Linked DNA regions of Macaca fascicularis. The protein of the gene in region 1 interacts with the protein of each later gene in a biochemical or structural test. Links are inferred from orthologs where the notes say so. Each region holds a gene or a part of one and is shown in the gene's direction. Other genes may lie near its edges.

Region 1 (3,287 bases):
AACTGATCAATTCCTTACTTTAGTTCTTTCTATACAGGGTAAAAATAAAGATTTCAACTGAGTCAAAACCATTTAATTCTGTTATTAAACCTAATCTAAGGTTAGCTCCAGTCAGATAATTTAGTATCTTCTATGATATATTACCCTTCATCTTTTTCTAGTGTTTTAGTTGGTAATATAGCATTCATTTTCCTTCTGTTTTTAATGTGACTGTGCTTAGGTTACTTTCCGCACCAGAATTTATCACTGCAACATCAACAGTCAGGGAGTCATCTGTCTGGACATCCTTAAAGACAACTGGAGTCCCGCTTTGACTATTTCAAAAGTTTTGCTGTCTATTTGTTCCCTTTTGACGGACTGCAACCCTGGTAAGCAAATCTTTATTAACACAAAAACCAGTGCGTTTTTTTTTTTTTTTTTTTTAGTTAGCTTTAAATGTAGATTGAGAGGTAAATGTTATTGATAGGAAGATCTCCGTAAAATAGTTTGTAAGGAAATTACCAGTGCCATTTGAAGTAGACTAGGCCAGAAGTTTCTCAATACCTTCATTTAATTTGTTAATGGCATACCACTCTATAATTATTTTGTCACCATCACTAATGGAATCTTTACTTTTAAAACTGTTTAGGTGCACAGACTACTTCTACCAAGAGTAAACCAATGTCTCTGAAACCAGTGCCTCCTTTTCCTGCTCCTTCCATTCTGCGATAGGCTTTTAAGCAGCTACTTTAATAATAGAGGGCTTCTTGTTCTCCCTTCCTTTTTGAATTAATTAGTTATATTAGGTGTAGTAGTAATGAATATTAAAATGATAGCCAATGAGAATTGAACTAGATTATGATTATATAAACTCAGAGATAAAATCATTTGTGTGTAATTCATAACTTTAAAAAATGCCTGCCACATGTGAACTTCAGAAACTTGAGTAGCTGACTTGATAAAATGATGTTTAGACCTGAAATTTCACACATTTTGTTTTGCTATGTGATTTTTTTTTTAAGTTGACTTACTTTTTCTAAATATTTGATAAGTCACTGAAAACTGTTACTGTTGTTACCTTGTGCTTGGCCGAGATACATATACAATAGATAGAGACAGATGGATATTCATTGTGGTATCATTTATTAGAGTATTGGAAACAACCTCAATGTCCATTAATTGATGTAACTTTTTAAAAGAATGTTTATATGACTCTATATGAACTCATAGGGAAATATCTTCGAGATATATTAAGTATAAAAGGCACTGGAAAAAATACATATATACAACATAATATTCTAAATGCTTGTCAGTGCATCTAAGAACTCTGGAAAGTAATGTTGTAAATGGGTAACAGTTGTTTGCCGGGGAAAGAAACTTCTGAGTAGTTGGAGTCAGGAAGGAAGAGAGTTTTTTTTACTGGCTATGGTTTGGTACAGTTCAAATATTGTACCATATGTACATATTTTTTTCTTTTTAAACATTATGATAAAAATTTATATCAGGTTCACTCTCTAGTTCAGAATTCTACTTAAAACAAAATGGCAAGTAAGGTTTCAAGTGGAAATATAGATAGTGATTAGAGTCATATCAGGCACAGAATGAAGGAAGCATTGTATTTGAAATAGCATGGTATCGTAAGACTGGGGTTTTACTTAAAACTTGCCATTTTTGAACTATTCATAAGCAGAAATATAACCTCCTAGTATACTTCCATTGTTGAATGAAAGGCCAAAATTATAAAATAGTTTTTTGTATATTAAAGACCTGTGTCTTTCATAAAAGTCAAATCTAACTATTTTTGTATATAGCTCAAAATTTGTTGTTGTTGTTGTTGTTGTTGTTGTTTTGCTGAAGGGGGCTTTCCTAACTTGAATATTAAAATACACATATGATCATGTTACTTTAAATTTTTTCTTTTGAAAATCTAGCTATTATATATGAAGATACTGCGGAAAAGTAAGCATTTCATTTTAATAGAATATTAGAACTATACCTTGAAGAAGATACCACAAAATAGCTTTTAATGTTCTTTCCACTTTTCCAGCGGATCCTCTGGTTGGAAGCATAGCCACTCAGTATTTGACCAACAGAGCAGAACACGACAGGATAGCCAGACAGTGGACCAAGAGATACGCAACATAATTCACATAATTTGTATGCAGTGTGAAGGAGCAGAAGGCATCTTCTCACTGTGCTGCAAATCTTTATAGCCTTTACAATACGGACTTCTGTGTATATGTTATACTGATTCTACTCTGCTTTTATCCTTTGGAGCCTGGGAGACTCCCCAAAAAGGTAAATGCTATCAAGAGTAGAACTTTGTAGCTGTAGATTAGTTATGTTTAAAACGCCTACTTGCAAGTCTTGCTTCTTTGGGATATCAAAATGTATTTTGTGATGTACTAAGGATACTGGTCCTGAAGTCTACCAAATATTATAGTGCATTTTAGCCTAATTCATTATCTGTATGAAGTTATAAAAGTAGCTGTAGATGACTAGGAATTATGTCATTTGTATTAAACCCAGATCTATTTCTGAGTATGTGGTTCATGCTGTTGTGAAAAATGTTTTACCTTTTACCTTTGTCAGTTTGTAATGAGAGGATTTCCTTTTACCCTTTGTAGCTCAGAGAGCACCTGATGTATCATCTCAAACACAATAAACATGCTCCTGAAGGCATAGTTTCCTGTCGTAATATTTTACGTCAGTCTTGTTAGAAGGTGTGTCTGAGATGATTGTTGATGAAATAAAAATGCGTCTATGAAGATTACTAAAGACTAGCACAAATAAACCAATTCTTAAATTGAAAACATTTAAAGTCCTATTAAATGTGTAGAGATTTTTTCCTTTGTTATTGAAAGAATGACCGTAAATAATCAAAAGTGGATTTTAACCCATTAGTCTCAAACACATAGAGCTGTATTTTGGTAATATGATGCTTAAGTCAAAATGCGTCTGGTAATATCTTATGGAACATGTTGTTCAGCATTGGGCAGTATTGTTAGATGGTAACTTTGATGTGGTAGCTAGTGTACTTTTTACTTCTAATCCTGGTCTTGAATTTTCGTGGTGTGTATTACCATTCTTACTATGGCAGGTGGCCAGCAAATACAGCCAGAGGCACAGTTGAACACAGAAATCTTTGTCTGCCTTGAAGGTAGACTAGAACTGTGTTAGTGTACAATGTGATATTTCTCAATTGGTAAAATACCAAATTGTAAGGTTTTTAGAAGGTTAAATTTCTTCTTCCTAGTTGTAATTGTGAAGTGTTAGATTTCTTGAAAGTTAGAATTACTTTGCAATAT
Region 2 (4,438 bases), on another chromosome or scaffold:
TTATGGTTATTTCTTCATGATATGCTAAACAAGTGGTGGATTATTCATGCCTCCCCTTTTTAGACGATATAGGGTAACTTACTGACGTTGCCATGGCATTCGTAAACTGTCATGGCACTGGTGGGAGTGTAGCAGTGAGGACAACCAGAGTTCACTCTCGTGGCCATCTTGGTTTTGGTGGGTTTTAGCCCACTTCTTTACGGCAAGCTGTTTTATCAGTAAGATCTTTATAACCTGTATCTTGTGCTAATCTCCTATCTCATCCTGTGACTTGGAATGCCTAACTGTCTAAGAATGTAGCCCAGTAGGTTGCTCAGCCTTATTTTACCCAGCCCCTACTCCAGATGAAGTTGCTCTGGTTCGAATGCCTCTGACATTTTGAAGTACAAAAGTTTTTAGCTTTGGTGAATGCAATTTATGTGTTTTTTTCCTTTGTTGCTTGTGCCTTTAGTTTCATGTCTAAGAAACTATTACCTAATTCAAGTTCATAAATATTTACTCCTACATTTTCTTCTAAGGGTTTTTTGGTTTTTTTTTTTTTTTTGAGAGGGAGTCTCGCTCTGTCGCCCAGGCTGGAGTGCAGTGGCGCAATCTCGGTTCACTGCAAGCTCCGCCTCCCGGGTTCATGCTGTTCTCCTGCCTCAGCCTCCCGAGTAGCTGGGACTACAGGCACCCACCACCACGCCCTGCTAATCTTTTGTATTTTTGGTAGAGACGGGGCTTTACCATGTTGGTCAGGCTGGTCTCTATCACCTGACCTCATGATCCGCCCTCCTCGGCCTCCCAAAGTGCTGAGATTACAGGCGTGAGCCACTGTGCCTGGCCTTCTAAAGATTTTATAGTTTTAGTTCTTACATTTAGGTCGTTGATCCATATTTAGTTAATTTTTGCATATGGTGTGAGGTAGGAAGCATATAATTTTAATTTCTGCTTAGCCTGATGATAATCATGTGACCCTTTGTAAGTTTTTGCACCTAAGTCTCAATTTCCTTATTTGTAAAGTGAGAATAACAAATGGTAGCTAAATCATAAGGTTACAGTGAAGATAGAAAATTTACGTAGAGCATTTATCACAGTGCTTGAAGCATCCTAACTGCTCAATAAATGCGGTCGGTGTTGCAGTTATAACATGAGCGATGAATGCGTGCTTCTGCAGTGGAGCTCCAGAAAGACGGGCAGCATTTCTGAGAAGGTAAACGGGAGGAAGCAGGCTAGCTTAGTCCACTTAGAGAAGCAGGTCTGGGATTGTTGTGAGAGTCTCTGCCCTAGGTAGACCACTGCCTCGTGATCACCTCTAGGGATTGGTAAAAATTGGAATTCTCGGGCCCCATCAGAACTACTGAAAACAGCCTCCTGTGAGCACTGGGCTCGCAGTGGTTGGAGTGACGGCGGTCGCGCCGGCAGCGCCGCCTTGGGCCTGCGGGAGGCGCCCGAGAGACAGGGGCGACCACGGCGGCTGCGCAGAGTCCTCTCTAGGCCGACTACCCCACCAGCGGGATCCGCTTGGCTCAGCTGACAGCTCCCGAGAACGGAAGAGGCGGTGCGCCGGTTGAGCAGGGAATTGCTAGGCCTGGTCGGCTGGCGGCGGTGAGTGGGCCCCGGGCAAGGGCGGAGGGCGGAACTTTGGAGCTTGGCACTGCCGGGTGGCCGGAAGATACGGTGGGGACAGCTCTCTGGGCGCGCGAGGCAGAAAAGGGGACCGGGCCAGGACTGTACAGTGGGCCTCAGTCGCTCAAACCCGGGACCGGGCGTCCGCAGCCCAGCTGGCCGGGACTCCCTTCCGGACGCTCCTGAGGAGGAAGAGAAAGGTGTGGGCCCTGCTTCTTTGGGAGGCCCCAGGCTGGCCAGCAGCTCACACGCCCGGATAGCGCCCTCTGATCCCAGCGCTGGGGCGGATAGCTAGCCTTGGACTTGCCCCTGTTTTGGGGTAGTCGCCCAAACGACTCCGCACGCCGGGTGGCGAGCTGAACCCAGACCAGGACACCCGAAGACCAAATGGATAGAATGAGAAGGAAATGGGGGTAGCAACCAGAATTGAGGTACTGGATTCCAAGTGACAGCTTCACAAGCTGAAATCTAGTAGGGTAGGTCATGAGGAACTGTTGAAACACTGCTTGGAGTAGAAGTTGCTAGCCCTGACTGCATATTGGAATCACCTGGAGAACTTGGACAACTACTGAGGCCTGAATTAATTGTTCTGGGTGTGGCCTGGGTATTCAGATTTTAAAAAACAGCTCCTTAGAAGATTCTAATGTGCAGTCAGATGGAGAACACTAACCTAAAACCATAAACTGCATAAATGAATCTCTCATCCCATTTGCAAATGTTTTAACAGGAAGAAACAAAAAGCTTAATTAGCACCATATATTCCCACCTAGTAAAATTGTTTAAGATTAAATAAGACAATGTGAAAGGACCTAATACTGTACGTAGTAGGTGCTCAATAAATGTAAATTGATTCTGAATCTCATTCTTATTGGGGAGTTACACATCCGAGAATCTGTAACTTTTTAATTATGGTTTTGTATATGGTATTTTTGCATATAATTTTAGGGTGTTGATAGGATTCTCCATAACCCATCTGAGACCATACTCCCTTTTCCCCTCACCCCAGTGAAGAAGCCTAGCTCTAAAGCGTTTAGAATAAAACTTAAAAGTTTCTGTTTGTGTATTCTTGTTTTGTTTAAGTATTTTTCTGTTATCAAAATTAACCATGAGTGCCACTGGTGGTATTAATTCATGAACAAGAGAGGAAAAACTGGAGGGGGATGGCAAATGAAGGAATACAAAAAGCAGAAGAGGAAAGGAGAAAAAACAAGAAACTGAAGAGGCTGTTTGTTATGGGGCATGGTGTCCTGTCCTCTCATATGACCTTGGTGTTCCTCCTTACCTCCTCCCATGGCTGAGGGCAGACAGATAAAAAGTCCTCAGTCATTGCTGGGCACATGCAAATACTCCTTTAACCACATGGCTCAGTCAGTCTGCCCTAGGAGAGTAACATGCACCTGTAGATTAGGATTGGCTGTACGTTAGGATATGTTTGACTTAAGTGGTGATCATGGAAATTCAGAATTTTAATTTGGAGAGGGTCCTAACACCATCTTTTGTATTTCTTTTCTGCAGATGGCAGGATTTTCATAGTATATGTAGTATGAGTTCCACATCTTGGCCTCTTATCCAGCTTCAGCAGTGTCAGCTCCACCAGTTAGAGAATAAATGGGATTTGCACGAACTCCACTCTGAGCTGAAATACAGACTGTGGTGTTAATATTCTTTTCTTCTGGTTGTTATTAACAGGTACTAACTGACCTCAAGTAGAACACGTAATTGTGTCTTTTAGGGAGGCAACTTAAGCAGAGCCATGAACTAACGTCTCCTAGAAAAAGTGTTTTTTGAAATGAAATCATTTTAAATTTCACAGTATGACCTTTTAGAATGTAAAAAAATCCTAACTTTTTAATTATGTACATTTTAATTAAAAATATTTTAGTTGTGAGGGAGGATATTTGCAAATGCAATTGTTGTTCAGTATTTTAATTGACAGAATGGTATTTTGTTTTATTAAAATGATTTTTGTAAATTCTCATTGCTTATTTTTTTCCACATTTAAATTATCTGAAATTGCTGTATCTTTCAGTTGACGCTATTTTAAAAACATTGATTCATACTTTATTTATTTTTATTTATTTATTTATTTATTTGAGACAGAGTCTCACTCTATAGCCCAGGCTGGAGTGCAGTGGCCGGATCTCAGCTCACTACAAGCTCCGCCTCCCAGGTTCACGCCATTCTCCTGCCTCAGCCTCCCGAGTAGCTGGGACTACAGGCGCCTGCCACCTCGCCCGGCTAGTTTTTTTTGTATTTTTTAGTAGAAACGGGGTTTCACCGTGTTAGCCAGGATGATCTCGATCTCTTGACCTCGTGATCCACCCGTCTTGGCCTCCCAAAGTGCTGGGATTACAGGCTTGAGCCACCGCGGCCGGCCCCATACTTTATTTTTTGAGACAAGGTCTTGCTCTGTCACCCAGGCTGGAGTGCAGTGATGCAGACATGGCTCACTGCAGCCTCAGCATCCAAGGCTCAAGCGATCCTCCTACCACAGTCTCCTAAGTAGCTGGGACTACAAGCACACACCACCATACCTGGCTAATTTTTTATAGAGACAGGATCTTGTATGTTGCCATGGCTGATCTCAAACTGCTGGCCTCAAGCGATCCTCCTGCCTTGGCCTCTCAAAGTGCTGGGATTACAGGCATGAACCTCCACACCCAGCCAGTTCATACTTTAATAGTAGCTAATTTCTTTCTTTCTTTCTCTTTCTTTTTCTTTCTTCCCTCCCTCCCTCCCTCCCTCCCTCCCTCCCTCCCTTCCTTCCTTCCTTCCTGTCTCTGTCACCCAGGCTGGAATGCAGTGGCGCAGTCTCAGCTCACTGCAGCCT
Region 3 (2,628 bases), about 38 Mb from region 1:
GTCTACTCCTGTCTCTCTAGGGTCCTTCCCTCTGAAGTTGAAGTGTTGGAGTCCATCTATCTGGATGAACTACAGGTGATTAAAGGAAATGGCAGGTATGTATTCAACCAGCGGTGGGCAGGAGTCCCCCTAGTAATGAGGAGAGGTTCTATGCCGAATCTGGGTCTTAAGACAGTGTAAGCCTTGATTCAGAGATAATATTTCTCTTGTGTAGACAAAAGCTATTCCTTTAATCCTACCCCAAAAGAAAGAGTCCAATATGTACTTTCTTTGCCCACTTTACTGTCTCAACCCCATCCTCCCCAGCCCCCAAGTCCTTACACAGTCACATCTGCGTTTCTACTTGATCCACCTGCAGAACTTCACCGTGGGAGATCTACATCACTTTGCATCCTGCCACTGCAGAGGACCAGGATTCACAGTATGTCTGCTTCACTCTGGTGCTTCAGGTCCCAGCAGAGGTGAAGCCCCTACTCTGTGGCAGCAAAGGGAGGAAGGGGAGAGTCCCTGGGGTGGATCAGTTCAGCAGTAACTTGTTATTTGCCCCCACTAGTATCCCCATGAGGTGCCACAGATCTCTATCCGAAATCCCCGAGGACTTTCAGATGAACAGATCCACACGTAAGTTGAACCTGTCAAACAGGGAAAGCTCAGCTACAGCTTTGCCCAGTGACGGAAATGGGCAGGCCTAATATGTGGTTTGCCCTCTTCCTCCAGGATCTTACAAGCGCTGGGCCATGTGGCCAAGGCCGGGCTGGGCGCAGCCATGCTCTATGAACTCATTGAGGTAAGAGGTGCGCTAGTCTGGGATATGTTCTTTCCTTCGAGCTAGAGCAGTTTCTAGCTGTAAAAGGGAAACCATGGGCCTAGAATCTTAAATAGATCTGGAATCATTAAGTAAGACCTAAATTAATCCAGAGAAATGAGACTCTTCTATTTGAGAAACTTCCCGAAAGACACTGCTTAGTGAAACAACCCACATGAAGCAACACCTGGAGCTCCAATATACACGGAAAACTTCTGCTGTTTGAGATTAAAAATATAAAGTACAGTCTTATTTTCCTCTAGTTTATTTATTTTTTATTTTTATTTTATTTATTTATTTATTTTTTGAGACAGTCTTAGTCTGTCATCCAGGCTGGAGTGCAGTGGTGTGATCTCAGCTCACTGCAACCTCTGCCTCCCAGGTTCAAGTGATTCTCCTGCCTCAGCCTCCCAAATAGCTAGGATTACAGGCATGTACCACCACACCTAGCTAATTTTGTATTTTTAGTAGAGTTGGGGTTTCTCCTTGTTGGCCAGGCTAGTCTTGAACTCCTGACTTCAGATAATCCACCTGCCTTGGCCACCCAAAGTGCTGGGATTATAGGCATGAGCCACCATGCCCAGCCTCTCCTAGTTTAAATTTTTAAGAAAAATGTTCAGAATAGAATGAAGGTGGGTGGCCGAGAGTCAAAGAGAGTGGGTTTGATAGGCCACTGTAGCAGTCCTAGGTCAGGCCTCCACAATGCAGCCTTGGACTTTGTGGAATTCCAGAGTACACTATTAGCTGTTCAAATAACAATTCAAATGCATAGTTCACAGCCCAACTCAATGCCTTGTGAATTTTCTGTCCATTCGGGTTGTCCATGCTTTGACATGCTTTCTGAAAGCTGACTTAGAACAAACTCATTGCCCCATGGGGGAATGATATTGAAGGGGACTAATCAAGAAAGGCCTCCCAGAAGATGAGTTTTAATTGAACATTTTTTTCTCTCAAGGTGTATTATTTTCATCTCCAAGATATATTAAAAGTGACTTAATGAAAGGAAAAACAATTAGGTTGAATTTTGAAACCAGGAAGATCAAATTTTGGGGGAGGGGCAGAGACGTGGAGAAGGATTGATTCCCAGCAGAGGGAGCATCACCAAGACAGAAATGCATAAACACAAGGTAACAAACTGGCCTGGTAGGAGCCAAGTCCAGCCAGTCACTCCTAGGAGTAGTAGACAGGCCTTGCTCACCATTCTTCTCCCTAACCCCCTGTTTAATCAGTGTCTTCTCTCCTCAGAAAGGGAAGGAAATTCTCACAGATAACAACATCCCTCATGGCCAGTGTGTCATCTGCCTCTATGGTTTCCAGGTGGGTTTCTCTCTTGGGACCTGGCATTCTGCTTGGGACCAAGATGAGGGCTGTGAGAGAGCTCTGACTTAGTGCCCTACATCTGCCTTCCCTCTAGGAGAAGGAGGCCTTTACCAAAACACCCTGTTACCACTACTTCCACTGCCACTGCCTTGCTCGGTACATCCAGCACATGGAGCAAGAGCTGAAGGCACAAGGACAGGAGCAGGAACAGGAACGGCAGCATGCTGCAACCAAACAGGTAGACCTTACCAGACCTGCACACTCATCTGACACCCTTAGGCACAGCCTTTCACAACCTTTCCATCCCTCCACTCCAGTGGCTCTTCACCTTTTTAGGGTCATAGATAACCTTGAGATTAATGAACTCTTACCTCTGTCCAGAAAAAAGGGCATCCTTTTATTTTTTTTTTATTTATTTATTTTTTTGAGATGGGGTGTCACTCTGCCACCCAGGCTGGAGTGCAGTAGTGCAGTCTCGGCTCACTGCATCCTCCGCCTCCTGG

Evidence for each region.
Region 2: the proteins of UBE2E3 (region 1) and RNF14 form a complex in vitro, tested with the Homo sapiens proteins (2 studies listed by BioGRID). The link is inferred for Macaca fascicularis from reciprocal best matches to the Homo sapiens genes UBE2E3 and RNF14.
Region 3: the proteins of UBE2E3 (region 1) and RNF25 form a complex in vitro, tested with the Homo sapiens proteins (2 studies listed by BioGRID, with this or other methods). The link is inferred for Macaca fascicularis from reciprocal best matches to the Homo sapiens genes UBE2E3 and RNF25.

Annotation. Positions count from the first base shown.
Region 1 is NC_088386.1:76,567,709-76,570,995, forward strand, and holds the end of UBE2E3 (ubiquitin-conjugating enzyme E2 E3), read left to right. Parts: intron 1-220; coding exon 221-368; intron 369-2,026; coding exon 2,027-2,124; 3' UTR 2,125-2,661; downstream 2,662-3,287. UniProt on the Homo sapiens protein: Accepts ubiquitin from the E1 complex and catalyzes its covalent attachment to other proteins. In vitro catalyzes 'Lys-11'- and 'Lys-48'-, as well as 'Lys-63'-linked polyubiquitination.
Region 2 is NC_088380.1:148,455,210-148,459,647, forward strand, and holds the start of RNF14 (E3 ubiquitin-protein ligase RNF14), read left to right. Parts: upstream 1-1,524; 5' UTR 1,525-1,587; exon of another isoform or gene 1,588-2,084; intron 2,085-3,123; exon of another isoform or gene 3,124-3,297; intron 3,298-4,438. UniProt on the Homo sapiens protein: E3 ubiquitin-protein ligase that plays a key role in the RNF14-RNF25 translation quality control pathway, a pathway that takes place when a ribosome has stalled during translation, and which promotes ubiquitination and degradation of translation factors on stalled ribosomes.
Region 3 is NC_088386.1:114,596,498-114,599,125, reverse strand, and holds part of RNF25 (E3 ubiquitin-protein ligase RNF25), read left to right. Parts: intron 1-20; coding exon 21-95; intron 96-358; coding exon 359-461; intron 462-553; coding exon 554-621; intron 622-717; coding exon 718-787; intron 788-2,050; coding exon 2,051-2,122; intron 2,123-2,219; coding exon 2,220-2,363; intron 2,364-2,628. UniProt on the Homo sapiens protein: E3 ubiquitin-protein ligase that plays a key role in the RNF14-RNF25 translation quality control pathway, a pathway that takes place when a ribosome has stalled during translation, and which promotes ubiquitination and degradation of translation factors on stalled ribosomes.